2 linked regions of the Rhinolophus ferrumequinum genome follow. The protein of the gene in region 2 binds, or shares a complex with, the protein of the main gene of each other region. Links are inferred from orthologs where the notes say so. Each region holds a gene or a part of one and is shown on either strand. Other genes may lie near its edges.

Region 1 (8,923 bases), on a different chromosome or scaffold from region 2:
GTGTATATATATATATATATACATATATATATAGTAAAGATAAATTCTTATTATAACAGTCAAAAATATGTGAAAGTCTTCACTCACAATATTAAATTGTAGACGCCTGTCAGAGTAAGGTAATTTAGGATTGCCTGGGTAAAACATTTCCCAACCTGTTTCCCTTTGTTTTTAATAGGTGCAAGAGGCTATGCTTATTCCACACTTATTAGGGATAAACACCTACCAAGTGTAGAAAACTTCCACAAATGCCTTCTCTACATGCTCTTCCCTTCTACTTCCACCTATCCATCCCCTCTTGACAACTCAGCCGAAACAAGTCACTATCAATGAGAGTCATACCCCAAATATACGCTTTCAGAAAAATAATGCCATAAACACTCCTTTTCCTCTCCAGTCCACCTTTAAGACTTTATTAAGAAAAGGGCAAATAAAATGTTTTATAAAGAAATTTAATTACACCGATGTATCTAAAATATATGCTATGTGTGGGGTCTATTTGCATATATTAAATACGGTCACCTTAGTATTAAGTTCATCCCAAATTTCCCTTGGTAAAATGATGAGGATTCATGCAACTTAAAGGCTGTGGAAAACCAATTTTCTTCCATGATACTACCACTCCACAGACTAGAAAATGCAGCCTTCCACATGAAAAACTGCCAATTATTTTTTCCTCTGAAATGTTTTAAACAGAAGAGCTGCAGATTCTCAAGAGAAGCCATACTTCAATTGTTTTGAATAATAGTATTTTTCAGTATTTTCTCTTACTAAAATTGGTGCAATTCATCCAAAACATTTTCCAAATGTCATTGTTTTCCAGCTTGCGCGCTTAAAAGCTGCTTAGAGAAAACAATCTCTCCATCTGAAAGATTTACTTCAAGAAACCAATTAGTAATCACTAAAAAAGAAAGGAGAAAAAGAAAACAATTCACTTTTATAGACTGGAAAAAAAAAACTTTTAATTCATCCAAGTCCTTCATTTTACAGATAAGAAAACAAGTCTGTGGAGGTTAAGTAATTTGCCTCAGACCACAAAGCTACTAGTAACAGCACTAGAAATAGAATGAGGTATTTTAATTGCTTTTAATAGTACCCTAAATCATCCAAGTTACATATGTTCTCATCAGTTGTCATTTAAATTTTAAAATTACTGTTTTTTTTAATTAATTCCTGATGAAGGACTCCTACATATGTTCTACATTTTCAAACTTGTTCCATTTAATAAACTTCAAATTCTAACTCCAACAAATAAAGGTACTACTATCTAAGAACTTTCCTCTGAAAGTTTCAAGAAAATAAGTTTAGAGGTGCACACCCCTAAACTGTCACAATGATTTTAAAAGCACATACTTTCAATCACCATCCCTTAACTGTACTTTAGATATGTTTGTTCAACCACCACAAAAATAGGGAAGGTGGGTGAGGAAATCTGGAAGTTCCTCTTTGACAAAAAGCATCAATAATCTGTAAGTGAAATGACTAGATCATTACTCCATTAATAAATTATGGGTTTCTGACTTAAATTAGGAAGTCACTAACATTTTATCAAGTTACTGTGTGAAGAGTTAATAAAAGGTTGGAAAATGCACTCTTGGTTGACTTTGGATCTGAAAGAAGGTGAAGAGCTGACACTGTTAACACAAATTGAAGACCCGAGCTTAAAAGCAAAAAATAGAAGTGAACACATTCCTTTAATAAAAAGCTCTTTCCTGTTCAAGCTCTGATCTACCAAGTGCACCCGCCCTGTGGAGGCCACATCAGTAAGACTTTCAGATTTTCGTTTTAATGCCCCAATAAATCAATTCTGCACTTTTTAGCTTTGGCTACTCAAGGGCAAAGCAGAGGGCAAAGAGGGCAACAATTTACATTGGCTCATTTTCAAGTACTGTAGTCTAACCACTCATTAGTTTACAATTGTTTCTTTGTGCAACTGATTGATTATTCTCAAAGCACTAAGAGAATGCAGTACTGTAAGTACTTCTCTGAAAGACACCGGCAACAAAACCTAAGACAACATGATTTTGATTACAAACTGATGCGGCAGTTGGAACAGTAAAACACAAGTGTGTTGTCTTCTTAATCATTACTTCTAAAATATTACTATGTTTGTTTCTTAACTATGACCTCCGGTATCACTCTACAAAAAAAAAAAATGTTAAAAGGTTAACACACCTATACTTTTAAAGTATGGCCAGCTTAGCAAGGTGGCAAATTTGAAAACATAAAACACAGACAATCTCCAATCCACCACTGATCAATAACACACACAGACACACACACATACACAGATTCGGAGCTGTGTTAAGCACAAAAATCCTTACCCCATTTTGCCCAGTGAAAACTTGCTCTGAAGTTTCTGCTCTTATGCTACGGAATAGAACTTCCAAAGGAATTTCTCCGTCTGCTATTTCGCAGTTGCTTTTCCACCCCCCGAGGTCCTTTTCTGGAGGTATGTGGCAATTCAATTAGTTCTCTTAGGTAAAATGATTTCTCTCTCGTAAATACCAAAACGTTCAAACAAAGGTGGCATTTGCTTTTGAGTTAAAATGCTGCGCGGAGAAGACAGCGGTCAACCCTATTCCACAAAATGAGTCTATGAGTTGGAAAACGCAGAATCCAGCTTCACCGAATCCTACAAAAAGAGTTCCGTGTTCATTTCGCTCACGTCCTCCTCCACAGTCAGAGAGCCAGGTAACTCGGTCTTTTCGGTGCTAAGGCTGCAGGTTCAAATTTCTCTACCACACCAGGTCCCTGGGGGTGGAGCGTGCAACCCAATGCGACGTGCACTTGAGAGATCCCTAAGAGAAAATAAAAATCCTAAAAGCAGTAATGCTTCTGCTTCCCTGCGCTCACATTAGAAAAAGCTATATAGAAAAATCTCCTCCAAGTGCAAACCCGGCAGCTCGCGACGTGCACGGCACTCCACATTGGAATCTGTCTTAAATTTCTCCTCTCTTAAGACTCGAAGCAGAGAGGAGGTGGGGAGGAAGAAGAGAAGGCTGGGCAGGATCGATTCATTCTCCCGAGAATAAACGGAGCCATTTCCAGGCTGGCAGCAGGCTGGGGGCGCAGCGCACACAAGAGAGCAGAGGGAGGGGGCCCGATCCCACCTCCCTCAGCCCCTTCCCGCCCCCCGCCGCCGAGCACAATGGAGCCCGGATCGCGCCTGGCCCTTCATTCGCCGCTGCCCCCTCTTCCCTCCTCTCTTCCGAGCACCGCAGGTCGGCGGAGAATGAATGAATCAGAGAGCCAAGCTCCACGCCGCCCCCGGCACCCTGCGCCCCGCTCCGGGGCGGGCCGAGCAGGGGAGGACTGGGCTGAAGGATCGACGGGCGCTAATTCCACGTCGGGAGCAGGGGAGCCGGCCTCGAAGCCGCCGGAGAGCGGCTGCTCCGGTGCCCCCACCCCTGCTCCTCGCCTCTCACGCTCCGCGCCGCCGCCACGCGCCGCCTCCTCACACTTCCATCACCGCCCGCCTCCGCCGGTCTCCAGCTCCCGCTCAGCAGAGCAGCGCCGACCCGGGTGGCCCTGAAGCCCGCTGCTGCCTCCGCCTTCACCGGCCGCTCGCAGAGCGGAGGGCGCCCGTTCCCGGGTCAGCGCCGCCCGCGTGAGCCGATCGCGGCGGCAGAGCTGGCTGCGGGGGGGTGGGGGTGGGGGACGGGGCGGGGAGAACGGGGGGCGAGAGCTGTCCCTCCCCCTGCTCGCGGGAGAGGGCGGGAGGCAGCCGATGCCGCGGAGACGCGGCCGGGCGCCGGGGGCTGGGTCGCTGACAGTCCCGAGAGGCCGGAGGGGCCCTGCGTGCAGCAGGAGGAGGCAGCAGCCGCGAGGACGGCGGGAAGGCTGGTGCTCAGCAGCCGAGCCGGCCCGCGTGGGGAGCTAGTCGGGCCGGCAGGTCCGTCAGTCCGTCCTTCCTAACCCCCTCCCCTAGTGGCTGGCGGCGGGAGCACTGTGCGCTCTGCTGCTCCGCTGGCTCCTGGCCCCGCTCCCGGCCGCCACAGCCTCCTCCGCACCCCACACCAGGTGCTCGCGCTGTGTCTCCATCCTCCCCGCAGGAGGACCTTTAAATAGCAACGTCAGCGCGCTCTTCTCCGCACACTCGTCACCCGCCGCTCACGTCACCGGGGTGCGGGGGATGATGTCACGCGGCCGGAAGTACTGCTAAATTAGGGAAGGAGCAGGGGGAGGAGGACTCGGCGAGCTCCTCTGTACCCACCTGCTCTCGCTTATCCTTAAAGGCCAAAGCACAGGAGACAGCCTGAAAGGAGCTTGGAGAAGGAAGCGGCGGCGGCGATTTCCTCGCAACAAATGTGCCAAACGCGAGTGAATCATTCATAGCAACGGTACCGAAGTGTCAAGCGGGTGATATCCTATCTCCCACTCCCACCTCTGTTGCAGAAGCATCCCCAGGCTTTTCAAGTTCCAACTAGCACGGAAATGTGGGAGGAAAGCCTGATCACCAGTGCTAGATATATTCCCAACAAAACTTGGGAAAAATCACCATAATTTTCTAAAGTTATTAAATGCCCTTCTGGACATAGTTGATTTTAAAACACCCCTCCCCCCCGCCAGCTTACTGATACTTAAATCACGAAAAGAATAAAGAGCAGAATCATCAGCAAATGTTATAATGTTACAAAAGATAGTAACCCAAGGGGAAGGGGGAGAAGGCCATCAAATGATCTCAGTGTTTACATTTGCACAACAGCAAACTTCTGGCATAGGATAATAAGTCAATCCTAACTTAGAAAGTTCACTCATAATTATCGTTATAGATGCCAGTATACCCTTTAAATTCTGGTTTATCAAGAATATAAGTTCCAGTCTATGGAAATTAAAACTAAGATCACCAAATTCTTTTCAACAGTAACACAAGCACATTTAGATTATTTTTGTCTTCCTTAGTTTTGGCCGTAGAATATATCATTAAAGTACCTCTTAAGTATGTGTTTTTCATTTCCTATATTTCATTTCTTATAAGCCACTTATAAGTTTACTAGTTGTGTGTGTATAATAAATAATATAACAAATGCTTCTCAAGTTACAAATTACTACAAAATCTTAAATTGTCATTACTTTGATAGTTTGTTAGGTAGACTTAACTAATCAACTTTGATTTGATTTAATTTGATAGTCATGACCCAGAAATAGAATTACTACATAATGCCAAAGGCCATTGCTATTTCAGAGTTAGTCTATAAATTCAGTGACCACATTGTCCAAACCCAGACACATCATTTGACAATAGACAAAATATTTGAAATCTGAAGTAACCTTGAAAATCCAGGGCATAGGATTACCAACATATAAACTGATTGTTAGAAGAGCTATAAATGGATACCAATGCAGTTTAAATAAAAGAAATTAAAACGCTACAGAATTTATACCCTGTGTGGCTTTTTAAAAAATGGTTTTTAATATCAAACTACTGACATGATTCCCAATTAAGGAATATTGGTTTTATAGCTTTCTGCATCTACATTTTCTTGATCAAGTTAGGAGCCCAATATTAAAGGACACCAGCCAAAATAGGACCAATTTGTAACTAAATCAGGCTTTCTGGTTATCTTCACATTATAAAATCATGATCTCGCTTATAATTTGAAATAGTGAAAGTAGTTTTGGGACGGCTGGATGGCTCAGTTGGTTAGAGCACGAGCGCTGAACAACAGGGTTGCTGGTTGGATTCCCACATGGACCAGTGAGCTATGCCCTCCACAACTAGATTAAAGACAACAAGCTGACACTGAGCTTCCGGAGGGGCTGCCAGATGGCTCCGTTGGTTAAGAGCACAGAGCTCTCAACAACAAGATTGACGGTTCAATTCCCACATGGGATGGTGGGTTGCACCCCCTGCAACTAGATTGAAAATGGAATGGTGGGCTGCGCCCCATACAACCAGACTGAAAATGGTGACTGGTCTTGGAGCTGAGCTGCGCCCTCCACAACTAGATTGAAGGACAACCACTTGGAGCTGATGGGCCCTGGAGAAACACACTGTTCCCCAATATTCCCCAATAAAAATAAAAAAAAAATTTAAAGTCTTAAAAAAAAGTAGTTTTGTTTTTTGCTTTTTGTGTTTGTTTTTTAGGGTTATAACAAAGGTTATTCAAAAGCAAACTCCTGCTTGACAATTTATTTAATATATATTGTCATGTTAGTAAAAACTTGTACTAAATTATATTTCAGATAAATGGAGCTTCTTATGTATAAAATATTAAAACAATAAAACTGTCATTCTTCAAATAATGTCATCCCTTGGCCCTTGCAAATTAAAATAAAAATTAAGTTATTACTCTACTAAAATTTCTCTACAAATTATTTCCTATCTGAACTAAATTACTTTTCTCTTTCCTGCTCTTTCTGTCCATGTTAAGTCAAGCTCTCACTTTGTCATTATCAAACACTTCATTCTCCCCTTTTATCATGACTCCTCCTGGTTTACAATCTTATTCCCCCTCATCTTTACCCAACTGTCAAAACAGCATATCAACTGCATCCGTGCTTTCAGAATGCTGACCCTTCATTAGGGTTTCTACCTTTCAAAGCTATATGACCTCTTCTCAACTGCTCTTTTGTCAACTGAAAATTGAGAGCAACCTTTTTCTATATAAATCTAATGGTGCATTGTGATAGAATTACTCAAAGTTTATGCGATTATTTAACTTCAGCTCCTGCTTTTACTCTAGAAAATTCTGCCAATAATTGGTCAATGTTTCTTTCTAGTTTGTGTGGGTTTAGTATATCAGGGAATACATATGTACCCAAAGGAATAAGACATTTTATGTTTCATTGAATATCTTCCCATAAAAAAATAATAAAGTAAATGCCCCTTTCTCCTCCTTAAACAATTCTAATACAATTTTGAGAGGAGTCAGAGAACCAGTCTATGGCTTTCCATGAAAATTAAATATCTTTTCTCCTAAAACTGAGCTGCTGTAACCCAAATGCTAGCCATGAATTTCTAACCCTAATTGTATGTGTTTTAAAGTAGTGAACTTTCTAGAAAGTGATGTATTTTCTTTTTCTGGAAGAGGAAGAAAGTACTTTAGCAGAGTTTCAAATTTTTCACAGTTCCTGTTTCCCACTACACTCTGAAAATTTGTGGAGAGGTTCATGAATACCCTCTGATTTTAGAATCTGTGGGCTGGAGGCATCTGTTTTAGTTACAGAGTTTACTTCCATGCCCTTAATAGGAGATGGCAGTATTCAATGGATGTTCATAGATTGGTCATGAGATATGTCTTTTTCAATGAAAAGACATTTAGGAGATAGAAAAACTTTGCAAGGAAGAGGGTTAAAGCCACATTTTATTTTTAATTGCTTAGCATTAGATGATAGCAACTCCCTTCCAAGTTCCCTCTTTTTAATGACCAAAATTCCACTACTGCTTCAAGTAAAGGTAGAAATAAAAGATATCTCTACATACAATAGAAATCTTAAGATTTCTAGTTATGAAGTTTTAGTCTTTCCTAGCAAAGACTGAAAGTAATGATTAAAAAAAAAAAAAAGAAAGAGTGGTAGGGAAACAGAATTTATCCAGTTAATTCTCCAAAGTCATCCCACCTCCTCCACAATATAGCAGATATTGGGTGCCAGTAAAATGTTTTTGGCCTGTTCAAAACCATCTTTTATTATTATCTTTAATGTTCTGAACAGAAACAGAGTAGTTAATAGTCTTAAGGGTGGAAGTATAAGTGTTTGGCATCTCCAAGACAATGACTCGAGGACAAATTTTACTCTTCTGAATGTGTGCACTGTTTCATCAAAGGGTTTGGGAATGATGGACGGAGGGAAGTTAGAAAATGTCCTCAGGAACGATATGATGTAGAGTGCATGGGAAATGATCTCATAGGACTATCTTGCTCTGATCTCTTGCTCTGATTTTTACTGTAAATTCATTGTTTTCTAAATATGGTCATTAAAGAGATACAAATATAATCTCAGACTTATGAAAGAACATACCAGAAAGTTTTCAGTTGGTGCTGTGAGAAAATTATTGTACAACTACATATGTAAGTTTGTTAAACATTCAGAAAAGATGGGGATATGGTTCCTTTGAAATAATTATCTGGCTTAACTGCAGGCTGTTTGGTTGGTTGGTTGATTGTTCTAAACAGCAGTTGCAGAGAACAGGCTGTAAAAGATGCAGATCTGCAGAGAGCTACAGTAAAGAACGTGGAGTAAAGCTTGGGCTATACCTGTGCCGTTACTTAGAATGGAATGCTGTGGAAGCTGATTGCCATGGTAACCAGTAATCTTTTTCCTGAATGGAGGAACAGAACAGCCATGAGGAAAATATTTTAAATTAGCTACCTTATTTTGTCATTCCTTTGGTGCCAGCTAGGAAGAAAACAACACCCAAGGTATTTAGGACAGCTATGCTTATGAAAGGAAGTTGCCTTCTTATCAAAGAGATAAGGCCGGGGCAAAAAAATTTAGACTATTTCAAAGAGAGATGGGGGTTTAAGATGGCAATTGGAAACTCTCTGAAGCAGAACATAATTGGTAAAGACTCTGAAATAGCTAAAGCGAGCAGATGCAATATCTAGAAACTGTATTAAAGGTTCTCCCAAACATAAGATGTCAGAATAAATAAAAATTACTAACATTTGGGAGTTTCAGCCAAGATATTTGATGAGTTATTCGTGAGGCTTTTTATTTTTTTAATCTGGTTCTAAATAATAATTTATCTAAAACTTAAAATAGCAATGGTAAATATATCTTTAGTTAATATCTATTCTATTATTTTAATGATGAATTATATTTTATCATATACATAATAAATACGTATATAGACATACATGTAAATAGAGATAGATAGGTCTATATTATATACCTGTGTTGACTGGATCATCTGCTAAAATGCCTTATCCTTAGAATAAAATCCAAACTCCACGCCTTGGCCTAAGAGGCACAGCTT
Region 2 (8,120 bases):
ATCAGGGCTCAAAGTCTAATTGAATCTGGGTATTCACTCTGGGCTCTCAGGGGAGTGCTTTGCATATTGTGATGGCAGGGTTAAGCATGACCAGGGATCACAGTGAGAAGATGAGTATCTCTGTTTGCCACATGTATGCCAAGAGCGCTGGTTGGACAGGGCTTTGTCTTAGAAAACACTGATGGAAGTAGTTGTAGTTTCCCAAGTACTGAGACAATAAAGCTCTTTTGTTACAGAGTTTTTTACCCAGTATCATGACAAATTGAAAAATTTCCAGGGCCACATTCTAAATCTGTCTTGACTGGAGAATAGAAATATAAGTGACACTAGACCCATAAATAATAACTTCTTTGAGTTAAATTTCCATGTTTTGCCTGGAATTTGGATTGAAGTTTTATACAATACCATGTAATATGAAAAAAAGTTTCTATATTTGCTGTAAAAGTCTTTTTGAAGACATTGAGCTTTTAAGAGCCATTTATATAAGGGTCTGTGTAATAATATTAGCAATTAGTAATAGCAGCAACAACATTTTTTTCTAAGAACTGACTCATTTTCTAATATTAGATAATGATAATTAGGTAAAACATTTTCCCTTTTTTGTGTGTTTTCTAGTGAACTCATAACTAAATGTGTTCTGGTAGACCATAGATACTATATTAGTCACAATAATTTCTGTGTTTGTCACCTCCTCTTTCTTCATTGTTTTCATTTTCTATTTCCAATGACTTTCATATATAATTGCCTCATTCACATTTAGAAAGTAGGCTGATAAAGTTATTAAATAAAATCAGGTAAATTTATTAAATAAAAACAACCTCCATTTTGCAGTTGAGCAATCTGAGATATAGTGAAGGTTTTCCAAGCTCTACTTCATCAACACCAATGTCTTTTCAGTTTTCAAAACATGGTAAGTGTTCTCCTGTCTCTGAAGTTCCAGCTGTTATTCACTATGCCTGTAACCCCCTTCCTTTCTTCCCTCCCTCTGGTTAATCATCTCTTCTTACCCACAACCCACACAATACACAGACGATATTCTTTGCAAGTTGATTCTTTTGCATCTTTACTAAATATTACTGTCTCAGAGAGATTTTCTGACTGTCCTAAACAAACAAGATGCCTAGGGTCCTTCTTATGCTTTGCTGTTCTTTATAAGTTGTTCAATTCTTTACTGTACCTCACACCAGTTACAAGACATGTTAGTTAGTTTGTTGTTTGTGTGCCTCTTACTTGAATTTATTCCATTCACCATTGCATCCCCAACACCTAGCCATGCCTGATACATAGTAGTTTAATAAATATCTAATAAATGGCATGAATGAATCAATAAACATATATACACTCATACATACTTAATAACCATAGGTTTTCTAAAGTCAATACTATATTTATTTTATTCATCATTCTGTTGCAGTCTTTGTATTGTAACTGGCAGAGAGAGAGAGAGAAAGAAAGAGAGAGAGATGTTTGATGAGTATTTATTAAGTGAATGAAAAAATATTCCCTCAGAGAAATTATTTCAAAAAGCCATTTATAATCTGTTATTTGATGGGTTCAGATAACCACAGAGTTGCAAAACATTTAGAATTGCAATAATCCTTTTGGACTCTAGAATGTGAGCTAGCTAAGTTTAAGAAACACAAATGGAAAAACTGAATGTAAGAGGTGGGTAAGTGTACCCAGGTTGGAAAGAAGTGTTGTCTTTCAGTAGTCTTGCAAACCTCCTATAAATATTCACATGATTTACTGTCAGTGATAGCAAATAGGAAAATGAAGGTCAGCATGGAACATGTATACCTCTATTTTCTTAAGTATTTATTTAAACATTCAAATATATTTATTGAGTAGTTTCTATGTGCCAGAATTTTCTTCTGATTATTGAGAGTATATAGGTAAAATAAACAAAGATTTCTTTCCTTGAGGAGTTTACATTGTAATAAGAAGGAAGGGAAGAGACAGACAATAAATAATAATCATAACAAATTAATAAATTATTTAGTATATTAGACTGTAGTAAGAGATAACGGGGCAAACATAGAGCTGTATAAAGGGGATCAAGAAGAGCACTGAGATCATGAGGTGTAGTAGTTTACAGTAGGGTAGTCTGGGAAGGCCTCATTAGGGAGGTAAGATTTTAGCAAAGAATTTAAGGAAAGAAGTTAGCCCAGTGGTTATGTGGGAACAGAGCATTCCAAGCAGAAGAAACAGCTAATGCAAAGACCACTAAATTGAAGCATGTCAGGCATGTTTAAGAAATAGCAAGGGAGTCTTGGTGGCTGAAGTAGAATGAGCAAAGGGGGAGAGTACTAGGAAATGAGGTCAGAAAGGTAATGGAGTGGAGACAGATTATGAAGCATAATAGGAAAGACTTGGGCTTTGACTGAGTGAAATGGAAAGTTATTGGAGGGTTTTGATTTAAGTTAACTTCTTGCAAAGTACACGCTGGCTGCTGTATTGAATATAACCTGTAAAGAAAAAGTAAAGAAGCTGAAAGACTTGTTGGAAGCTATTGCTGTAACCAGGTAAAAGATGATGGTGGCTCGATTCAACATGGTATCTGTGAAGGTGATTAGAAGTGGTAGGATTCTGGAGATATTTTGAAGGTAGATTCAAGAGGATGTCCTGACAAATTGTCATGTGTGAGAGAAAGAGAGGAACTGATGAAAATTCCAAATTTTAAACTAATCAATTATAAATATAAATGACTCTTTTCATTCATTTTTACTATTCTACACAAGAATTACAATATTTTGCTTATTGATAGCTCATCCTAAGGCAAAAGTCATACCCTTGAGCAATTTACAATTAGTACTTATTTTGGGAACTTAAAACATTGTTTCTATACTCCTTTTAATTTTAATTTTACCTAATTCAGCACTTTACAGTTAAGAGGTAAAGCAATATTGTAAAATGTCACTGAACAATTTAAGATTACATAATTTTGTTTTTCTTCTTATCTGAAAATATCACTACGGTTCAACATTGGGAATGTCCTTTACATTTTAGCTTTTAGAGCACAGGAAGTATCTTGGTAAACAATAAATTACCTTTATGGAGTGCTTTATCATTTCTGACAGGCTTTGACATGTCTTATCTCATCCAAGCTTCTCCATAACCCTGGGAGACAGCAGGGAACAAAATACTTGTAGGAAATTGAAGAGTTTAAGTGACTGAGTGTTCACCATTAGAACCCTTTTTACCTGAGCTCAGCTCACACACGTTGTGTACTTTGAGCCCATTCCAACTGATGAAGAAGGATGGGGAACTCGGTGTGTCCTATGTTCACTCAAAGCTAAGTGTCCCAGACAAGGATCAAATCTATGACCTCATCCTCAATGCCGATGCTCCAGCAAATTGGGCTAGCAAACCATTATACATATCAGATTTAATTACATCTCCAGAATCACCTGGTCATTAGTTACTGTTAATTTTCCTCAGAACGCTCTCACTTTTTTTTTTTTTTTTTTTTTTTTGTATTTTCTCATTTATACCATCTTTCTCATCTTTCTTATTCAGGAAGATCAACCACAGCTTTTCTGGCCTCTCTACAAAGCTTGCTTTGTGGATTGTAATCAAAGAATTTCAAAAATGAATGCCACCATCAGAGTACACATGAAAATGTGCCATTGTAATAATCAACAAGGTGTGGTAGATACATATCTTTTTCCTTTTTCTTGTTGAATCCTGAAGTTATCAAGGAACTTGCCTTGTTTTCAAGGGTCTGGTGGGAAAGGTACATTAGTAGTTTATGTATCAGGACCAACCCCCTCGACTTCAGTGTCTTCATTTTTAATATTTCATCCAATTGCTGCAATATTTGGCTCCCAAAATTCAGCTAAGGAAATATAGTGGGAATTATCATATCACTACAATGTCTTTCTTTTCTTTAAATTAAGTCATGCAATTAATTTACACCAATCTCTTTTGCAGAAGCAGAAATTAAGTGCTTTGGGAATTGAAAGATAACCTCAGCATTTTTTTTTACAGTCTTGGTGAGTTATAGGGATGATGGGGGAAGGGAAGCAAAGTCATCTGAGGAAGTAAAAGATATTTAACTGCTTTGAAGGAAGAAATTTTAATGGATGTAGAAAGAATCATTTGTAAGAAGGGCAGACATGCAAAATGGCATTATTAATAAGTCGTACCATTAAAGAGACCGTTCTTTCTAACCACTCACACCTCTGAATCATTTTGGGGTTCCCTGACTTCCTGGTTCTCCCTACCCTCCAGCAGTGACGCCCCTTTTCCCAATCACTTAAGTGCCATCGGCAGAGAGAGGCTTATCATCTACCTGCTCCCCCAGCTGCTCTGAGTGACATACCACCCACGCCTCCCCACACAGCTCTTCTCTTTCGGCGGCTCCAGGAGGGAAGCTGAGGAGCTGCAGAGGGAACCTGAGGCTACCCTCTTCAGCACGCCGAGACTATGAAGCTTCAGGACACTTGTCACCCACCGAGTCGGTACCCTGGAGGGCCGACCGCCCCCCGCCGCGCGCTGCAGGAGTAGGCGCTGCGCTTCCAGCTGCGGCTGCCAGAGTGCGGCACGTGCTCCCAGCGCTGGCGCGGGAGAGCGAGCGCCACCGCCGCGGGCCCGGAGCCGCTCCGCCCGCTGCTACCGCTGCCTCCATCGCCACCGCTAGCGCTCCCGCCGCAGCCAAGGCCGCTAAAGGAGCGCAGGAAGCCCGCGAGGAGCGGCTGGCTGGGGGCGCCCGGCTCAGGGCGCGCACCTGGTAAGCACGGCGCGTTTTTCTTTCTTTCAGCTCTAGAATCAACACGCATGTAGGGATACGGCCGGAGCCCCTCCCCCAGCACAAGGCTGGACAGCATTCAGGCAAGGGGCGGGAGCTTGAGCGAAGGGACCCAGGAGGGCAGGTGGTGGGCAGGTGGAGAACTGGTGGAGCCAGGGACGCTGCGAGGTCCTGCAAGTTTAGAAAAGTCACCCTGCAAGGACATGTGCTGTGTGAATCAGACATGAATTTCTAGTCAGAAGACCAGGCTACAACGGCATTGCTCCAATGAAAGGTTTATGAAGATGATTTTGCTTTTACTTGCATAAGTGAGGGATTTAAGTGGGCTCGTTTCCATAGAAAACGAACTAAAAAAAAAATCAGAGATCTGAGCCAAAGGAGGTGTTTGCACCTCTCTCTCTCTCTCTCTCTCTCTCTCTCTCTCTCTCTCTCTCTCTCTCTCTCTCTCATCCAGGCATGTGCACAAGGGGTGCATTTATGTAGGGAGAGGGCTTCTCTCTATTCGAGGTCATTAGGTGTTTGGGGAGCTATAAAAGCCTCTGCTGTTGCTTCACCCGAAAAAGAGGCAGCAAAAGAAGGGACCGTGTTGGGTATGAATGCCAGTGTTCCATTTCTAATATGACACTTCCATGACTACACGAACAGGAAGGAGAGGTTTTCTAGAACAGGGGGCCATTTTAAGGGGTTACACATGCCACTCTGGACCTATAAGCTCAAGTTCATGTCCTCCCACTGGGGCTAGGAAGACATCTTTCGGTTCCTTTATGGAACTTTGGCAAAGGATGAGGTTAGAGTAAGGGCTGTGAGGAGAGAGAGGGAAGAGAAGGGAACTGAATGGGACTGAATGGGCTGTGTGGGGAGGTAAAAGGAGCAGGAGCCTGGAAGTCAGGCGTGGCATCACTGTGTTCATTCAGTTCCACCCTGAGTAGCCCCTGAGTTGGTCTCTAGGGAAACGTGTGACCTTGAAAGAGTTCCTTAACCTCTGTGTTTCTCCATGTGAAAAATGTAGAGGTTCTTCTGTGTTTTGGGACACTAAGGTCCCATGCAATAGTGTCTATGATTGTATGGGTTTGCGTATCTGCATACAAGGACGGAAGAGCACCCAGAAAATCCAGAAAAAGGAAGCTTCAGGGCATTTTTCCTCAAAGTAGCAAAGGCATTTGCAGGCTCCTGGCTGTCCTGTTGTTGTAATGCATGCGGAGAGGTCTGTAGAAACGGGCAACAGGACAATCAGAAACGCAGGCTATAGCCATGGGAGCCGGAGTGCTGAGTGCCATTTGGAGAGGTTCAGGTCCGCGGAGACTAAAGTCACATGCTTTTTTTAAGGTAGCAATTATAGGAGAATTGGTCGCAAGCTATGAAGTTCTTTCAATTTGAGCATTTGGGAAATAATCTGGAATTGATTCTAACACACACACACACACACACACACACACACACAATGAATGGCATCCCATTTTAAAGGTTGGGCACTCAGTATGGCAGGAAGAAGGTTTTAGAGTGAGATCTGAGAATACTGTAATCTGGGCAGAGGGGTTGGAGGGAGAAGGAAATGGATATCCTTCCTGAGACTAGGGTTCCTAGATTCCTAGGAGGCAACTGGCATCTGTCCAGTGTCCTTGACATCTCTGCCACTTGTCTGAAGAAGGCACAGGTATCACTTCTCCCTCAATACAAGCTCATTCTTAGAACTTAGGGATCTCCTTTCCAGGTGCTGAGATATGAAGGTGCACATAGGAAAACTGAAGTCCTAGGGGTGCTTCCTGCAGTCCCCCACCATATGAGCATCTGGCCTTGGAGCTGGTTTACCTATCCAGATTGACCCAAAGTCTGTGTTCCTAAAGCAACTCACTGTGCCACTTGGTGGCACCAAAAAGTTGCGCTGAGAACTCTGTTCTCTATAAATACAAACTACCACCCCTCCCGCCTCCGCACTCTCCCCTTCCCCCCTTCTCCCCTTTCTCAGTAGCAGGGAGATTGCTGCACAAGCCGCCCTCAGCTCTGCTGTTCTTCGAGCACTGAGAGCAGGAGATGAGCTTAAGATCATCTTTGGGGGGTAGCCCAGGACTGGAGAGGCCGGCTCTGCCCAGCTGATCCACACAGCCCAACTTTAAGGGGGGCTAGCTAGACCGTGTCTCACTGCCTGCTGCGCGGCCAACAGGGGGGTAAGCTTGCTAAGCGTCTGTGTGCCTAAGTGTCCCTGGCTGGGAAGGATGTAGGAGCTCTCAACTTGCTGGGTAGCTCACAGTTTGGTTTGGGGAGGGGGATGAGGGTGGAGCAGGGGGTGGACAGAACCTCCAGATTGAAGTCTGCTCCATTTGCTGGTGGCCTTAATTAAACCTGTTGGGAGTAAAAGCGAGAGCAATGGGTAAAGGAAGGAACAGCTGCCAAGGTTGAGAAAGGGACTCTGCATGCCTTCAGATCTGAGTTCCCGCTCCCTAAAGCCAGGTACGTGTGTTTAGAATGCAGACTGTGCTTCCCCAAACCACCCGAGGGCTCAGAATTGAGAGAAGAACAGGTAGAGAGGGAAAGGAAGGAGAGTTGCTTCCCAATAGCTCGGTTAGCTGCAGCGACCCGAGCTCTTGCTACAGGAAGAGGGGGACAGCGGGTGGTGCTGAAAGCACAGCTCTTTCAAACAGGCTAGCTTGCCTCTTTCTAAACCTCAGTCTGCGCCCTCCCGCTCTTTCTTTCTTCCCCTTCTAACACAAAGCCTGCTAGTTTCCCCGGAGCGGCACCATGAGCAGCATGGTGAGGAGGGAGCCCAGGAAACAGTGACTTGGGGAAAGAACCCAGGGCAGGCCCGCGAGCTAGCCGGTGACCAGAGCCTAACCTGCACTTGGAACCTCACCAATGTACTTGAAAAGTCTACCTGGGGGTTCTTGGAACCGGTGCTGGAATTTCCCACTGCTCCCATTTCCCTCCAGAGCAGGTGCTGTGGGGAAGGGAAATTGAGGCAAGGTTAAGGAGCACTTGTGCTTATTTAGGCACAATCTTGGTACAGCCTCAGCTGAACTGTAAGCTTGAGCAGCCAGGCAGATAGATTCTCAGCATTTTACATCCCGCTAAGAAATTGACACAGTCCAGTGGGAAGGCAGAGTCTCCCTTCCACCTTCTTCTTCATTCCCCACATGTGGTTTTATTGTTCTGAGTCCCTAGAGACTGAGCTAGAGCGAATCTGTATTCTTAATGCTGGCTGCTGGCCATTTGAGGCAGCCAAGGGAGCATTGCCATGTACTAGGCGCAGCCCCTTCCCCAAGTGGGCATGAGTCGAGGTTTTCTGTGGAATCCTCCTAGTTATACAGCATTCTAGGCAGTCTTTTGAGTATTGCAGTGTCCAGGCATGCCACCTCTTGTTAGGGGTGCTGTGTGCTCC

Evidence for each region.
Region 1: the proteins of GRM5 (region 2) and HOMER1 are in contact, whole or in part, in a crystal structure (PDB 1DDV), measured with the Rattus norvegicus proteins. The link is inferred for Rhinolophus ferrumequinum from reciprocal best matches to the Homo sapiens genes GRM5 and HOMER1. Residues at the interface, in XP_006229721.1 of Rattus norvegicus: Thr1155, Pro1156, Pro1157, Phe1160; in NP_113895.1 of Rattus norvegicus: His12, Phe14, Trp24, Thr70, Ser71, Gln72, Lys73, Phe74, Gly89, Phe90.

What each region holds. Positions count from the first base shown.
Region 1 is NC_046290.1:51,146,430-51,155,352, forward strand, and holds the start of HOMER1 (homer protein homolog 1), read right to left. Parts: upstream 3,613-8,923; 5' UTR 2,330-3,612; coding exon 2,325-2,329; intron 1-2,324. UniProt on the Homo sapiens protein: Postsynaptic density scaffolding protein. Binds and cross-links cytoplasmic regions of GRM1, GRM5, ITPR1, DNM3, RYR1, RYR2, SHANK1 and SHANK3.
Region 2 is NC_046294.1:61,184,809-61,192,928, reverse strand, and holds the start of GRM5 (metabotropic glutamate receptor 5), read left to right. Parts: upstream 1-4,373; 5' UTR 4,374-4,729; intron 4,730-6,724; exon of another isoform or gene 6,725-6,912; intron 6,913-8,120. UniProt on the Homo sapiens protein: G-protein coupled receptor for glutamate. Ligand binding causes a conformation change that triggers signaling via guanine nucleotide-binding proteins (G proteins) and modulates the activity of down-stream effectors.